2 linked regions of the Oreochromis niloticus genome follow. The protein of the gene in region 1 binds, or shares a complex with, the protein of each later gene. Links are inferred from orthologs where the notes say so. Each region holds a gene or a part of one and is shown on either strand. Other genes may lie near its edges.

Evidence for each region.
Region 2: strip2 (region 1) and programmed cell death protein 10 share a complex: the UniProt entries of both Homo sapiens proteins name them as parts of the core of STRIPAK complex. The link is inferred for Oreochromis niloticus from reciprocal best matches to the Homo sapiens genes STRIP2 and PDCD10.

Annotation. Positions count from the first base shown.
Region 1 is NC_031981.2:6,725,869-6,732,986, reverse strand, and holds the start of strip2 (striatin-interacting protein 1 homolog), read right to left. Parts: upstream 3,017-7,118; 5' UTR 2,858-3,016; coding exon 2,747-2,857; intron 1-2,746. UniProt on the Homo sapiens protein: Plays a role in the regulation of cell morphology and cytoskeletal organization. Required in the control of cell shape. Calmodulin-binding scaffolding protein which is the center of the striatin-interacting phosphatase and kinase (STRIPAK) complexes.
Region 2 is NC_031983.2:17,919,258-17,926,615, forward strand, and holds the start of programmed cell death protein 10, read right to left. Parts: upstream 3,011-7,358; 5' UTR 2,886-3,010; intron 1,416-2,885; 5' UTR 1,284-1,415; coding exon 1,194-1,283; intron 1-1,193. UniProt on the Homo sapiens protein: Promotes cell proliferation. Modulates apoptotic pathways. Increases mitogen-activated protein kinase activity and STK26 activity. Important for cell migration, and for normal structure and assembly of the Golgi complex.

The DNA.
Region 1 (7,118 bases):
GTTTTCTTAGTCAATAAAATAATTGTTTACAACATTAAGTGTAACCAAACAGCCTTAAAACTGTCAGTTCATTTTAAAATTGCTAAATTAAGACATGTATGAACCTGCAAAAATTTCCTAGATTACCTTTATGCAGAAGAATATACAAAAATTCAAGAAAAACAACCCAAACTGTTTAGCTTACACTGAAAATTGTGTGATCATGCAAGAGCCCACTCCTGAAAGTAAAAGTGATTGAGGCGACTTGTTTTCAAGGCCTTTAACACTTTCACTTAGGCTTAATTAGCCTTGATAAATTACTTAAATAGATGATATTACTGAGTCTCTTAGTCCCTCAGTCCTCCATTGGCATCCCTGAAACTGAAGTTAACTCCTCTGCCCAAACCGAAATGACATGTCTCTTTCTGTTTCTCTTTAATTCTCATGCCTCTCCTCTCTCTTCCTCGTCTGCTGCTACTCTTCCATTTCTCCTTACAATTACCCAGTCTCTCTCTTCCACTCCTTCATTTTCCCCCCTGTTCACTCTCGTTCACTCCTCTTCTCTTTGCCGCCAGCTGATAACCAAAATCGCCCCGGCTCCAAACTGAACTGGCACGGCTCCTGTGTTTGCACGCTCTACACCGCATCAGCGTGCAAACACTGGGCGCAGTGTCAAGGCTGAACGCCCCCTCTCCTACCAACATATGCCAACATGGACATGACCACTCCAGCCAGCAAAAAAGACAAACAGTTCACGTACACGACGGAGTCAGGTTTGAGGTTCCTGGTTCAACTGTAGAGGCCAGGGAACCTCATTCACTCACCCCCAACCCCCTATCCCACAATCCAACGACTGTAAGATGAATATGCTCTAATTCCCCCCAAAAACATTCAGCGTCCTCTTTCAAAGCACTCTGAATGGTTTCGGCTTCAACGCACTCTGAGTAACATCTCTTATGTATCTGGACCGAGTAACCCCACCAATGAAGCCCATCAGCTAGTAATTTTTTCATGAGGAGGATGAATTATAGCTGCCGAGCACTGAGGGAGCCTTAACAACAAGCCTCGCCAGCGTCATGTTTAGAAATAGCGGAGGAGATTACAGCTTACAGGTCCATATTACAGAAGGTGACTCCCATAAGCAGTCTACAGTGGCTCTAAACACTCTTTAAACCACAGAAAATATGCTTATACCCCAGACCTATGGGACCGCCTCAGTCTTTTTATCAAAAAAAGGATACTGCAATGATGTAAAAAAATTGATTTATTGGCTGATTCCAATATACACCCAGCAGTTCAAACACAAACTCATACTGGATTTGCAGGTACAAATTTTTAGACAGTAAAAAGGCTCTAATATCAACATATTAGTCAATATTCTATTTATATACACTTGCTAGCTACTTCAAGGATACCTGTTCAACAGCTTGTTTATGCAAATAACTAATCATCCAATTACGTGGCAACAAGTCAATACATTCAAGTCGGCCTGCGGAAGTTCAAACTGAGTATCAGAATAGTGAAGAAAGGTGATAATCAACTGGGATTTCTACTGGGATCAGCATCTTTGCTGCTGAAGCAGCAGAAGAGCACAATGGGTCCCACTCCTTTCGGTTAAGAACAGGAAACTGAGGGTACAATTTGCACAAGCTCCCTAAAATCAGGCAGAAGATTGAAAAAAAAAAACATTGCCTGGTTGGATGAGTCTCGATTTCTATTGCAACAGGGTTGATATTTGCTGCAAATGACATCAAAACATTGATCCACCCTGACTTGTAGCAATAACTCAGAAGGCAATTATAGTCTAATAGTCTAGGGAGATCATTTCTTGATGCAGTTTGAGTTAAAATACAATCTTATTTATATAAAACCCATTACAAATTGAAACTTTCTAACTCACAACGTTTAAGCTGACTACATATTTTCATCATTCATGAATCTCTTTTTAAAATATTTTTTTACAATAGATGTAAAAAAAAAAAAAATGATGTAAATGATAACAGCCTCCAGAGATAGCTAGAAGGCAGAGGAGGGCACCTGCTGGTGATATGCACGGGACTGGAAACAACTGTACATTTAGTGGGATTGTAGCATCCAGATTAGGTCTCTGAACCTTCCCAAGCATTCATATATATCCCAAACAACTCTATATTTGTGACAGGCCAGTATCAACTTATTATTGTGCCACCAGTATATCATTCATACTGTAGTTCAAACCTCAAAGATTTTAAATTTGCACATATTTTATTTTCTGGTAGCCACTTTTATTTCAGTTCCCAAGAAAGCGTACTAAACCAAATCCCTCCTCTCACAAAGATACCAAATAAAACCAATAAAGGCTCATCTGAGGGGCAGGCGGACTGCCAAAAACTGATCCGATTCTCTGATTGATTAAATGGAGGATGCACTCCAGATGCCAAAAGGACACCACGAGGACATAAATATGATATGCAGTTACGTTCGGTGGTCCTGGGAGCAGCAGTCACATTTCACCACCTGCAGTCCCCCACGCTGAGCACCGCTGTAGGATTACTGCTGGGTTATTTATAGGAGCCGCTGCCAAAATAACACCTCGCCGTCTGCCCGCATGCATGCAGGCATGCTCTCGAGCCAAGACGGCGACTCGCTGCATGGAAAGGACATTCAGCTGATCTGAAAGCTTCCCAGCAACGACACACACATTCACACACACGTACGCACACACAGCCGTCCAGTGCGCTCCTGTACCAGGAGCTGTGGGAGCCCGCTGTGCTGTACTTGGATTTACCTCTGACTCCTTCTGCTGATCCTTGAACACATCTTTCCCTTTCGGCCTCTGTCTGTCGCCGTTATCGTTAAGGTTATTAATGATAGGTACCTCCATGTCCTCCGTCTGCATCTTTCACGGTCGGCTCGGCTCACTTCCTCCTCATCCGCGGATAGTGCATACCGGTCCGGTGGACAGCTCAAGACTGCACCGCGTCAGGAGGGGGGGACCGACTCCGGAGAGCGAAGTTGAGGATCTCCTCCTCCTCCTCCTGCTGCTGTTGAGACTACCCCCCCCCCCCCCCCCCGATATGTTTGATTCGCTGTCCCTGCTCGCTCCGAGAGGGCGGAGTTAAAGAGAGGCGCATCAGCTGACCACATGGAGCCAAAACGATGTCAGTGTATTAAAGTGGAGGTTGAATGGCTCAAAGTATTAGAAGCACCTTCATCTTATAAAAATAACTGCTGCATCCCTGGGCGACCCTTTGCTGAGTTGCCACACAGTCTGCCGTCAGCTGTGATGTCACTGTCGAAGATCACTTCATATGTGTGCATCTTCATTTATCATTTCACCTCCTGTCACTTTCCCCTGTGAATTATTGATATGCGGCTGTGAGGGGATTGTCCTGCAGACTGAAACACACACAGCCCCCTGACTGTGGAAAAACCACTTAAGATGACATGATTGGAGTGAACAGTTCAGAGCAGGCTTGAGCCACATGGCTGGGGCCATGGGGGAGGTGAGAGAGTTCAAGGTTAAATAGTAATTTACTGGTGGTTAAATCCATCGCAGGCCAAGTGTAAAATCAGCAGACCCAACAAAGGAGCTGGTCTACAAAAACACAGTGATGTGAGGAACTCTCGAGCAAGGCAGAGGAGCAGCGGTAACTTGTCTAAATGTAACTCAAGTAGACTCACTTTCATAATGGTATGTGATTCCAGTTGATGGACGATTTCTTAGGAAGGCAAATTGGATTTATCAAAAACATTAACTGTTTAGTTTCATGGTAGCAGACTTATGACAAACTGCAAAGTACCTACAGACAGTGTTCACAAGGACAAGGTTTCCTATTTTCTGTTATAAATTCCAGACTAAAGTACAGGTTTGGTCCAAAAACTATCCCAATGGTATCATCAGGGTTCATTTCTCTTAAAGGTGGGTCAAGGCAGCTTCAAAAGGCCTGACTATAGACTGTATGTAAAAGATGGCAGACAACAGTGGCGGATCTATTCAGGATTTGTAGTCACATGACAGATGTAACATTAAGTTGTTCGTTGTAGGGTTATGTGAATAAGGCTCCAGTCAACAAACCTAGAGACCAGTTGGCAACTACTGGCTTTATATAGAATATAAAAATGTCTATTCTTTGGTTGGGAAATGGTTGGTTAAATAAATGTTAATAATGAGTCCTCATTGTGTATTACACTAGCATGAATGCAGTGTAGTAAGAAGCAGCAGTCAGTTTCAGAGCCACCCCTGTGAAATTAATGGTGTCAGTCTGGCTCCACCACCGTGCCCACTTCAGGCCACCCTCTCCCTCCACCTTAAGCACTACAGATTTGTCACAGTGACACTTCATATAAGAAACTAAGCTTATACATTACTGTTGTAGCACCCAAACCAAACCTCATTTTAAATGCTTCAAAAGAAACAAGCTGAAATAGAATGTAAATAGATTATAGTGTAACACACATACAATATGATTCTATTTAAAGTAATCTGCTCACATAAACTTGACTAATGTTTCTAGAATAAATAGAGGCTCAGAGCCAGCTCGGCTCGGCTGATGTCAGAGATGTCCCCGTCTGATTGCTGCTGGCTCAGATGAGCTCACTGTGGCTATGACAGACCTCAACAGCTGCACGTGTCTTCTTCCACGGCACATAAATACAACTAGAAACCAATCCACAATGACACAACACAGGCTGTGACATTAAAAAAAAAAACTCTCTATATGTGAACACACTGGGTGACTGTGTATTAAAAGTAGCAGAAATAAAGCAGCACACAAAGGAATAACTTTTTTCCCCATTTTTTTTTATTCATTCAGATTACAGAATTTTGTCATTATTGCTTATCATCTAACATTATCACTTGCAATATTTAAACATAGGGTTTATCTTTTCTTTATTAGACAACTTAAAACATGTTGAATTTTTGTCAGTTTGAACAGTATGAGGATTTACAACAATAAATACAGGTGTCGATTCTTCTTTTACCTTCCTATACTTTTAAAGGTTGTCATATCTGCATATAGTATGTATATACATCTATGATGCTGGTGTCTTCCCCCGCCTACCCGGTCAGCAGAGCGCTGACGGAAAAACAAAACGGTTTCTCCACCCCTAACGCACAGGCTAGGATCCTGAGGCAGCTGGTAACAAAGCAACTATGGCCTACAAAACAGAAAGGATGCTTACAAATACAGAGAGACTTTTAGATGTGCACCGTCGTCGTCATCTCGCTCGTTCACACGCGCGCACAAAAGGAAGAAAAAAGAGACTTAAGACAAAAGGTTTAAGTACTACAGACAAGCAGTCAACAACATGAAGAGACGGATGAAAGGGACTCAGTATAGAAGTTTGACTAAAGGGTTCCCATATTGTTCTTATTTTTGCCTAAAACAAAAAAGGAACAGAGTTTTATTTATTTATTTGACCAAAATTTCAATAGATGCATGAAACCTTGTCAAATAGGTTGTACGAGCCCTCTCAGGAACCCTTCAAAATAAAATGCTGAACTACTTGATTAAACTGACCTGCAAAAGCATACTTGGACTTTTAGAGAGCAGACTAACTTATTCAACTGGTAAACAAAGTTTTTTTTGTGCCACTTCCACCTTTTCAAAAAATAAAACTTTTAATGTTACCTTTCATATCTTGTACGATACAGTAAACTTTCAGACTTGGGTAATGAGCCACTCTGTGTGCGTTTGAGCCTAGTGTGTGAAAGCAGAGCTGGCGGCGTCTCGCAGCACGTCAGAAGAGATTGTGATCGGTTCAGGTGCAGAGCCAGAGCCGGTGTGGCGGCGGGGTACACTTCAGGTGAAATCACTGTCAGGGCTTTTCTAATTTCAAATGTCAGCTCAGCTGGGGACGAGCTGCAGAGGATGGCGACCGTGCAGCTCATTACAGCCGTAAGAAAGACAGACAAAGAAAGAAAGCGCCTTCCGGGTGGGAGAAAAGGCGGAAATGGACCTGAAAGGCTAGTGCACGTCAGAGATGTCGTGTGCGTGCCGTCTTTCATTTGTAAGCTCAACTCATCTGTGAGTACCAAAGAGTTGTGTCATCTGATTATGGCAAATACAGTAATTCTTAACAGCACCATGTATTTTACTGAGGACCTGACAGAAGAAATCTGCTTAATGGGACAGCTCACCTCACAGTCATTTATTAAATAGATTTTCCTGGCATTTAGTGTTATTTTATCCACAATGTACACTGCACAGACAGAGATGTATGCTGTAGAGGCGTCTGCCTTCTCTTAAATATAATGGAAGTGGGGTTTCGCTTAAAGCTGTAACTCAGAAATACTGTTGGCCTCCTAGTAGATGCAACTATGGTATCAAGTTAAAAATCATACATCGTTTCATTCTCTCGCATTCACAAACCTGGGTGTCTACACCGCCCACCCAGCAGGGTGTGGGTAAAAATCTCATCTTGTTGTTGGTGGTTTCATGTAGGAACTATTTTATTTCTTCTATCTACATCTGCCAAACAAACAGCTCAGGGGACAGGGGGACACCCATTAGTGTTCACACCCGGTCACAAGAATGAGCGTTATGAGTGAGAGGGTGGTTTTAATTCAGCAGGAAGGAAACAGTTCCTACATGAAGCTGCTCACAATATTTGGGTGGGGTTTTGTTCCTTTATCTTGAATAGCCGGAGCATAATTTTGCGAAAGTGACACTGCTACCTAGTTTCAAATCGATTTTTTTAATGCGCCAAGAACCAGAAGAGAAGGTAATGCTTTTTAGTTCCATGACGTTCAAGAGAAGGCAGATCCAAACAAAGCTACAACCTACATTTGAAAGAAAACAAACAAACAAACAAACTACATTTGATTTTTGAGGTGAGCTGCTCCCTTAAGTACCAGGGTGGCTGCGTGTTTGGTATTTCTGTAAATATTTTCTCACAGTATTTAAAACGAGAGTTCGAGTATATTTATTACACGCATCATTAGAACATTATACTGCAATGATATTAGAGGAGAGGAAATAAACGAAAGATAGAAAAATCTTTTCTGTATAAACATCTAAATATACAGTATACCCTCGTGATGATCCAAAAGCCTGCCATGCTTCTACTACAGTATTCTTGTTTAAGTGAAGGACCAAATAAAAATACTTTTCATTACTTCAACACTGGCGTCGCTAGAGCAGGTGAGAAAGAAG
Region 2 (7,358 bases), on another chromosome or scaffold:
CCTCAATTATGGAAAATTATTCAGGTCCTGAAGCAGCTCAGACATGTTTGACTGTTGGTATGATTTTCTTTTATGAAATGCTGATGCAACAGGACTCAAACCTTCCAAAACTCTGGTAGACATGAGACAAACCTTTGTGTTCTTTTGGCCAACAGTGGTTTATATCTAGAAATTCTCCCATACCATACCATGCCATTTTTCTTATTGTTAAATCATGAAAAAAGGCCTTAACTGAGGCAAATCAGGGCTCCAGTCCTTTTCATGTTGTTCTGGGTTCATTTGACCTCCTGGATACATTGTTGATGTGCTTTTGGGGTATTTTTGGTAGGGTGCCCACTCCTGGGAAGGTTCACCACTGCTCCATGTTTTCTCCATTTGCGGATAAGGGTTCTCACTTTGATTTACTGGAGTCCTAAAGCCTCAGAAATTGCTTTATAATCCTTTCCAGACTGACATTTTTATCTCTTGACTTTCTTAAGATCATGGTATGACACGTTTTTTACGAGATCTTTTAGCCTACCTACCTCGCTTTGTCATTCTTGATTCACCAAGTAATCAGGTCTGGGTGTGGCTATTGACGTTCTACTCAGCTTTCCAAAAAATGTGGTTAATCAAAGTTGAGTCTCTCCCTTAATAAATGAAATCATCATTTAAAAACTGCATTTTGTATTTACTTTGGTTATCTTTTTCTAATATCTACATTTGTTTGTTGATGTGAAACATGTAACTGTATGTAATATGCAAAAACAAAACAAAACAAAAAAACAGGAAGTGGGCAAATACTTGTTCACAGCACTGTATATGCATCTTTGTTTCTGCTATGCAGATTCATTATTATAAATTTTCAAATGCGTTACTGGGTCTCTGGTTTCTCATACAGGCATGCTGATGCTAATAGCTTCCCTGGACATCTCCTGATGAGGGGATGTCCAGGCAAACTATCAGCACCTTTGTCCCCAGCATGTGATATTTTACCTCATGGGAATTTGCATAATTATGATTAAGGAACTGACCTCACAGCCCATTGTTCCTTCAGTGGGCTGGTTTCAGTCATTATGCAAATGTACTGTTTATAAGGTTTGGGGAAACCTGCAGTCAGCTGAGACTGAAGAAGTCACTTGGATGAGTGACGAAACGTTTCTCCCACAAAACGCTACGTCCAGATGAACAGATTCAACTTTTGGAGATTTTACCTCATTGAAAACTGGATACATCACGGCGTACAGCGTCATGGATACCATGGAGTTTGTCTCCGCTTCATTCTTCATCTCCTCCATTGTCATCCTCCAGGGAGGAGCAGCTCTGGTTGTAACAGTGAGGAAGAATCTGCAGCTCACATACACTCACACATGCACTCAACCAGTCACACTCACACACACACGCTCAAAACCACCCAAACTCCAGAGTATAGTAGCCTGAAGAAGAAAAATGTGAGACAGTAAAACAGTGTAAATGAAGAGACTGGATTTATAAAAATAGATCCACAACTAAAACTTCTCAACACCCTAACAAACATACGAAATAATAAATATAACTTATAAAATCACTATGACACATTCCTTATAACCTCTATTTGTACTTGGTATTTATGCACTGTAATGTCTAATTCATTAATGTCAGATATTTATTCTGCAATGCCGACTCAATACTGTTTAACTAGCATTTTCTATAATGTTCAGACAAAAGGAAAACCACACTGACCATATTATTAGTAGTTAATACTATTGACCAGTATTGAAGTCATTTCAAAAGCTTCCTATTAGTTCATAAAGCTCTCAATGGCTTGCCCCCCTCCCTATCTCTGACTCACTGTTAACCCAATCAAACCTCTCAGGTCATCAGGTGCAGATCTTTTAAATATTTCTCAAATCAGATCCAAGTTTGCCGAGTGGTCTTTCTGCTACTGTGCTCCTGTTCTTTGGAACAAGCTGCTCGCTGACTCAAAACCTTAGGTTTTCCCAAAAAGTTTTATTTTGCCGTTTTGACTGCCTTAAGAGACTGTCAAACCTACACAGGTTTTTAATGTTTCCATCATTTGTGTTAATCACGTTTACGCAAGAGGAAATGTGTTATATAAATAAAGCTGCCATTGCCATTCAAACACTGCTCTTTTGTGAGTCTGGAGAAGGGGAGTGGCACAGTTACCTGGCTGATGACAGCAAACCTTCAATGACCAAACATCAATGTGAAAATATGACAGTTGACGGAATAGAAGAGCTTATTACAAGCAAGACACCAACCCGTTTCATAATTGCATTGATTCATATCAAAATATGTAAAAGTCCAAAAGGAATGACAGGAATTACATTAACAACAAAAAAAAGTTTGGCGATGTAGATCAGACATTAGCCTCCTAAATACCATTTGGGGTATTCAGCTAGGCTAGCCAAATACTTCTCGATGTCATTAAGTTTACATTAAACAAATGTTTAGATTTTTTTCTCAGACATAAACTAGACTAACATTACTATTTTTCAACCAAACGCGATGGTAGCTGGCTAACCCAACCACTTAAGCAGCTTACTGGATGTATACAAGCCCAGGTATTTGAGACTCGGCTAACTGGACGTAGCTAACCCAGTAGATATAAAGTAGACGTTACATTGTGCTGGCTATTTTTCTTAAGACTGTTAAAATCAAGAGTCAGAACAAATGGGTAGGTATAGTATTATATTTATCGCGATCTACCCGTAAAAATATCAACCTGAGGCCTATGGCCGACCATATCGATGGTAGCGAACTGCTAGCAGTGAAGAGCCGAGCTTCCGTGCTAGCTCTGGTAATTTCTGGATTTATATTTTTTGAGATCCTAAAACACGCCAACCGGCTGGTTTAGGACAAATGTGTCATTACAGTATGTGTCAAAAATGTGAGCAGGTATCTACCTTTTGTCTGACTTCGTAAATGGGATGGTTACGCCGTCGATAGCCTTTTTAGCTGCTGTGTTTTCTCTACAACTTAAGGCGGAAGTTTTTTAGGACTGGCCCCAGCGACATCTTCCGGACCGTTGCTACGTAAACACACACCGTCCAATCAAAGAGCAGATAAATTAAGCGACTCTGACGTCATTTAAATAGTTACATTGTACACGTAGTAGAGTTTTGAGTTACTTTGCGGAAGTCTTGTCTTCTCATGATAAAAATATCACACGGGCGTTTCTCTCCTTCGGACTCAGTAAGTTCTCAGGGGAGTCCAGACTTCTGAGGACTGAGACAGCAGTATGGCAGCATCACAGCTCAGCTCAGCTCCACTGTGTCCTTCAGTTCCTTGTTGGGCTTAATTTCATTTTGACTAATGTTTACAATGCAATGCAGATGCACTGTGAGCAGGTTGGACAGGGTAAGAAATGAAACAGCTGAGGTTGAGCCTCTGAGGCCAAGTCAGAGAGGTAAGGCTGCTCTGAGGCCAAGTCAGAGAGGTAAGGCTGAGATGGTTTTGGACATGTGCAGAGGAGGGGGCAGTGGATATATTGTAGAATAGGTGTTGAATATGGAGCTGCCATGGAGCAGGTAAAGAGGAGGACCATAACAAAATTTCATAGTGAAGGCAAAGTGTTGGTATGAGAGAAAGGATCCTAGGGAGATGGTGAGATGGAGACAGACATTCAGCTGTGGTGGTGTGGTGCTTCCCAAGAATTTAAACACAATTTGATTTGGTAAATGTTGCTTTCAAAGTGGAAAAAGGCACCCAAACTATTTGCTTAAATTAAAGTTGTAAAACCACTGTAGTGCACAAGCGTAAATAAACAAGTGAATGTACTCATTATGTAGAATGACTGACAGAATCATACACACTGTGTTGTTGGACCATAATAATTGAATCAATGACAGGTGTTACTTAGATATTGCTCATAGCTGATTTATAATAATCCATTGAATCTACAAAATAATAAGTAACTGCAGCTTTAGCAAAGCAGACCTCAGGCCATCACACTACCAGTACCATGTCTTACTGTTGGTGTGATGTTTTTTGTTTTAAATTAAATCCTGTCCTATTTTTCACCAGATGTAACGGGACTTAAACCTTCCACAAAGTTCAACTTTGATCTCATCAGTCCACAGAATAATTTTCCAAAAGTATTGAGGATCACCAAGATAGGTTGTGTTGTAAATGTGTAAATGTCTTTTGGTCAGCAGTGCGTTTTACCTTGAAACTCTACCATACATGTCATGTTCCTCCCAGTCTCCTTATTATTATGTCATGAACTCTGACTTTAACTGAAGCAAGTGAGGCCTGCCGTCCTTTAGATGTTGTCCTGGGTTCTTTTGTGACCTCCTGGATGAGTCACTGATGCGTTCTTGGGGTTACTTTGGTAGGCTGGCCACTCCTGGGAAGATTTACCACTGTCCCAATTTGAGGATAACAGCTCTCATCATGGTTAACTGGAGTACCAAGGCCTTAGAAATGGCTTTTAATCCATTTTCAGACAGGTAGATGTAAATGACTTTGCTTCTCAGCTGTTTCTTTAGATCGTGGCATGATGTGTTGCTTTTTGAGATCTTTTAGTCTAATTTAGTGTCTTCTAATTAAGTGATTTCTTGATTTAAGAGGCCTGGCAGTAATCAGGCCTGGGTGAGGCTAGTGGAATTCAGCTTTCTAATCAAAGTTAATTCATGAGAGGTTTGTTGGGGGTTTCTTTTTTTTTTTTTACGTAGGCCCAAGTAGGTTTGGAAAGCTTTTTAAAACTAAGAAGTCAGAAAAGGTGGGAATATTTTTTCACAGCACTGTAACTTTTAAAATAAAACAAAAAATGAATGAAATAATACTTTTATAAACCTTTTTAAAAAATGTAAAATGTGTTCATAAAGACAAGTGAAATATCCTATTCAGAATATATGGACAGCACTTCAGACAATAAAGTCAAATAAAATAAAAAAGTTATGAAGCTTAACTTTAATCTCAGCCAATCCAGTTTGCCCAAGAACAAATAAAAATAAACTGAAATAAACCAAGATTATCTATTGCGTGTAACAAAAGTGAATTGTATCTAGTGTTTGGCCTCCACTGAGTGATGAGGGCTAGCCTGCAGCTTAATTGGTTTTCATGGTTGTCTTGTGATGTTAGTCAAAATTTCAACCAAAGAGTTTACTATGAAACAGTAATAATGAGTTTGAAGTAGTACCAAGATCTAAAAGTGGCCAATGGTATGCTGCCTCTGGAGTTGTAGATTATATGATTAATGCTGCAGATGGTCAGCCAGCTGCTTTTGGCTAGTTGGCACTATTCTAAGACTAAGCTGGTGTTTCCATCGTTCGCTACTACCTCTCAGTTAATAATTTGTTTGTGCACAGGAAACGAGTTTGTGTGACCTTTCGTCTCACTCTTCATTTACATAAACCTGCCAGGAGGGGGCCCCAAGAGATCTGTTTTTATGATTATTATATTTTTATGATTTAAGGCTATGCAAATATTTCTATCAGGAGACAGGGCCACTTAAAGTTTACCTTCTTGTGCATTAAAGTCCAGAAACAGTTTATTTACTTGGTGTGAATAAAGTGCCGATTATGTGGGCAGCTTTATTTTTCTTAACATTTAATAACGCTACCGTGGTCTCGCACACCATGGCTTTGCCCATTATTAGTCAAATTTAAAAAAAAAAAAAAAAACATTAAGTAAAAAGACATAGATGTTATAGATTATTTGAATGTAAAGTGACATATTATGATTGTTCATATGTATATTTACGTTTAGTTATCGGTGTTGGTTTTCCTCCCAGAGCTAGTGGCTGCTGTTTGCTTGTCATCCAAGGCTCTCCAGCAGTCAGCCAGCTGTTAGATGATTAGAGCTGCTCTCAGTCAATAAACCACTATTCTTCACTGGTCAGCTGCTGTTTTGGGGAACTGTGTGCTGCTACTCTAAGATGATATTTGCTAGAATTGTAAAAACACATACAGCTTACCAAAGTCTCTCAGGTCAGTTTGAATTGTACCTATTTTGACTGGATGTAATGAGCCCCATCTGTATTTGTGTGTTTATGTTCAGTTGCTACTTGTAATTATTGCTCGCTTCTTGCTGACGTTACTCTTGAAAAGGACATTGTCAATTTCAGTGACATTTACAGCAGGATAAATTAAAGGTAATATTATAAAACAGTTAAATTACCAACTTGTACATGTGTTGATTGGACAGTACTGAACTGGTTTTACTACAGAAATCATGCCATAAATATATTTTTGTGGAACTGCCACAGGAGAAGTGTTACAAAAGTCACATATAAAAAGACAGCCAACTAGAAAGCTGGGTGAGCTGCAACTGGTAACTTGTTTGCATTTTCAATGCATAACTTTAAGGCTTTTCAGCCATTATACTCGCATGCTTACAGATTCATTTTACTAATCTGATTACACACACTTTGTGAATGTACATTCGCTCAAGGTTAGTTTTGCGGAACCTTCAAGGGACCTCCAGAGAAAATTAAATAATGTTATTTCCCCAATCAGCATACAAATGCATACACATTTAGAACACTTGTAGATAATCAGTAACTTAAAATAAAGCTGCTGTGCAAATCTAGTGGGCCTTATGGAAATCATTTATCATAATTGCTTTTTGGTGTAACACACAGACTCAGCTGAGGGCAAAAAATGACATACTCTCATGAGAAACAGTCCCAGCTATAATATATAATACAGTCCAGCATCCCATTTGCAGAAGGAACAAAACACATAGTCCAAGGCTAGGGCCACTTTTGCCACAGGGTGGCTAGACACTAGCATGCTGACAAATTCCAACAGGTCCTCCCAGAACCACCACCCTGTGTCGAGTCGGCCAGCAACCACCCCAGGCTCAGCAGGCCAGCTCTGCCTTCAAGCTGCAGCATTTAACAGAGACTGGCCTGCACTGAGAATGAAAATGTGGAAAAACATACAGCTACATCTACTCGCAGCACCTCAAAAGAACATCTACTATAAACACATTGATGTTAATCTAAACCATCTTAAATCTGGGCTATGTAACATACCTGTACAGAGAGAGAAAAAATGTGACAGCAGTGTTTGCAGTACATGGCATATGTAGACTAAAGTAGAAGCAGAATCAGATACACCTGCCTTTAGTTAACCCCGCCCAACCACAGCCATTGGCTCATTGCAAAAGTGAAACACACGCTCCAAAATCATTGCCAATTCCGGTCTACCCTGTTACACTGGTGCAGACTACCCTGAACATTTCCACCCGTTTAGACAGCATGCCTTGCATTTTAAGGGTGATGTCAGGCCTCCCTTTGGCTATGGTCTGTCCTGCGCCATTCACTGTGTCAGACATGGTCTGCTGTGTACCTTCACAAAGACTTCTATTTTCCTCCTGTTAGTGTGCAGATTTTTAGGCACTGATATCTTCATCTGCCATTTAAAGAAACA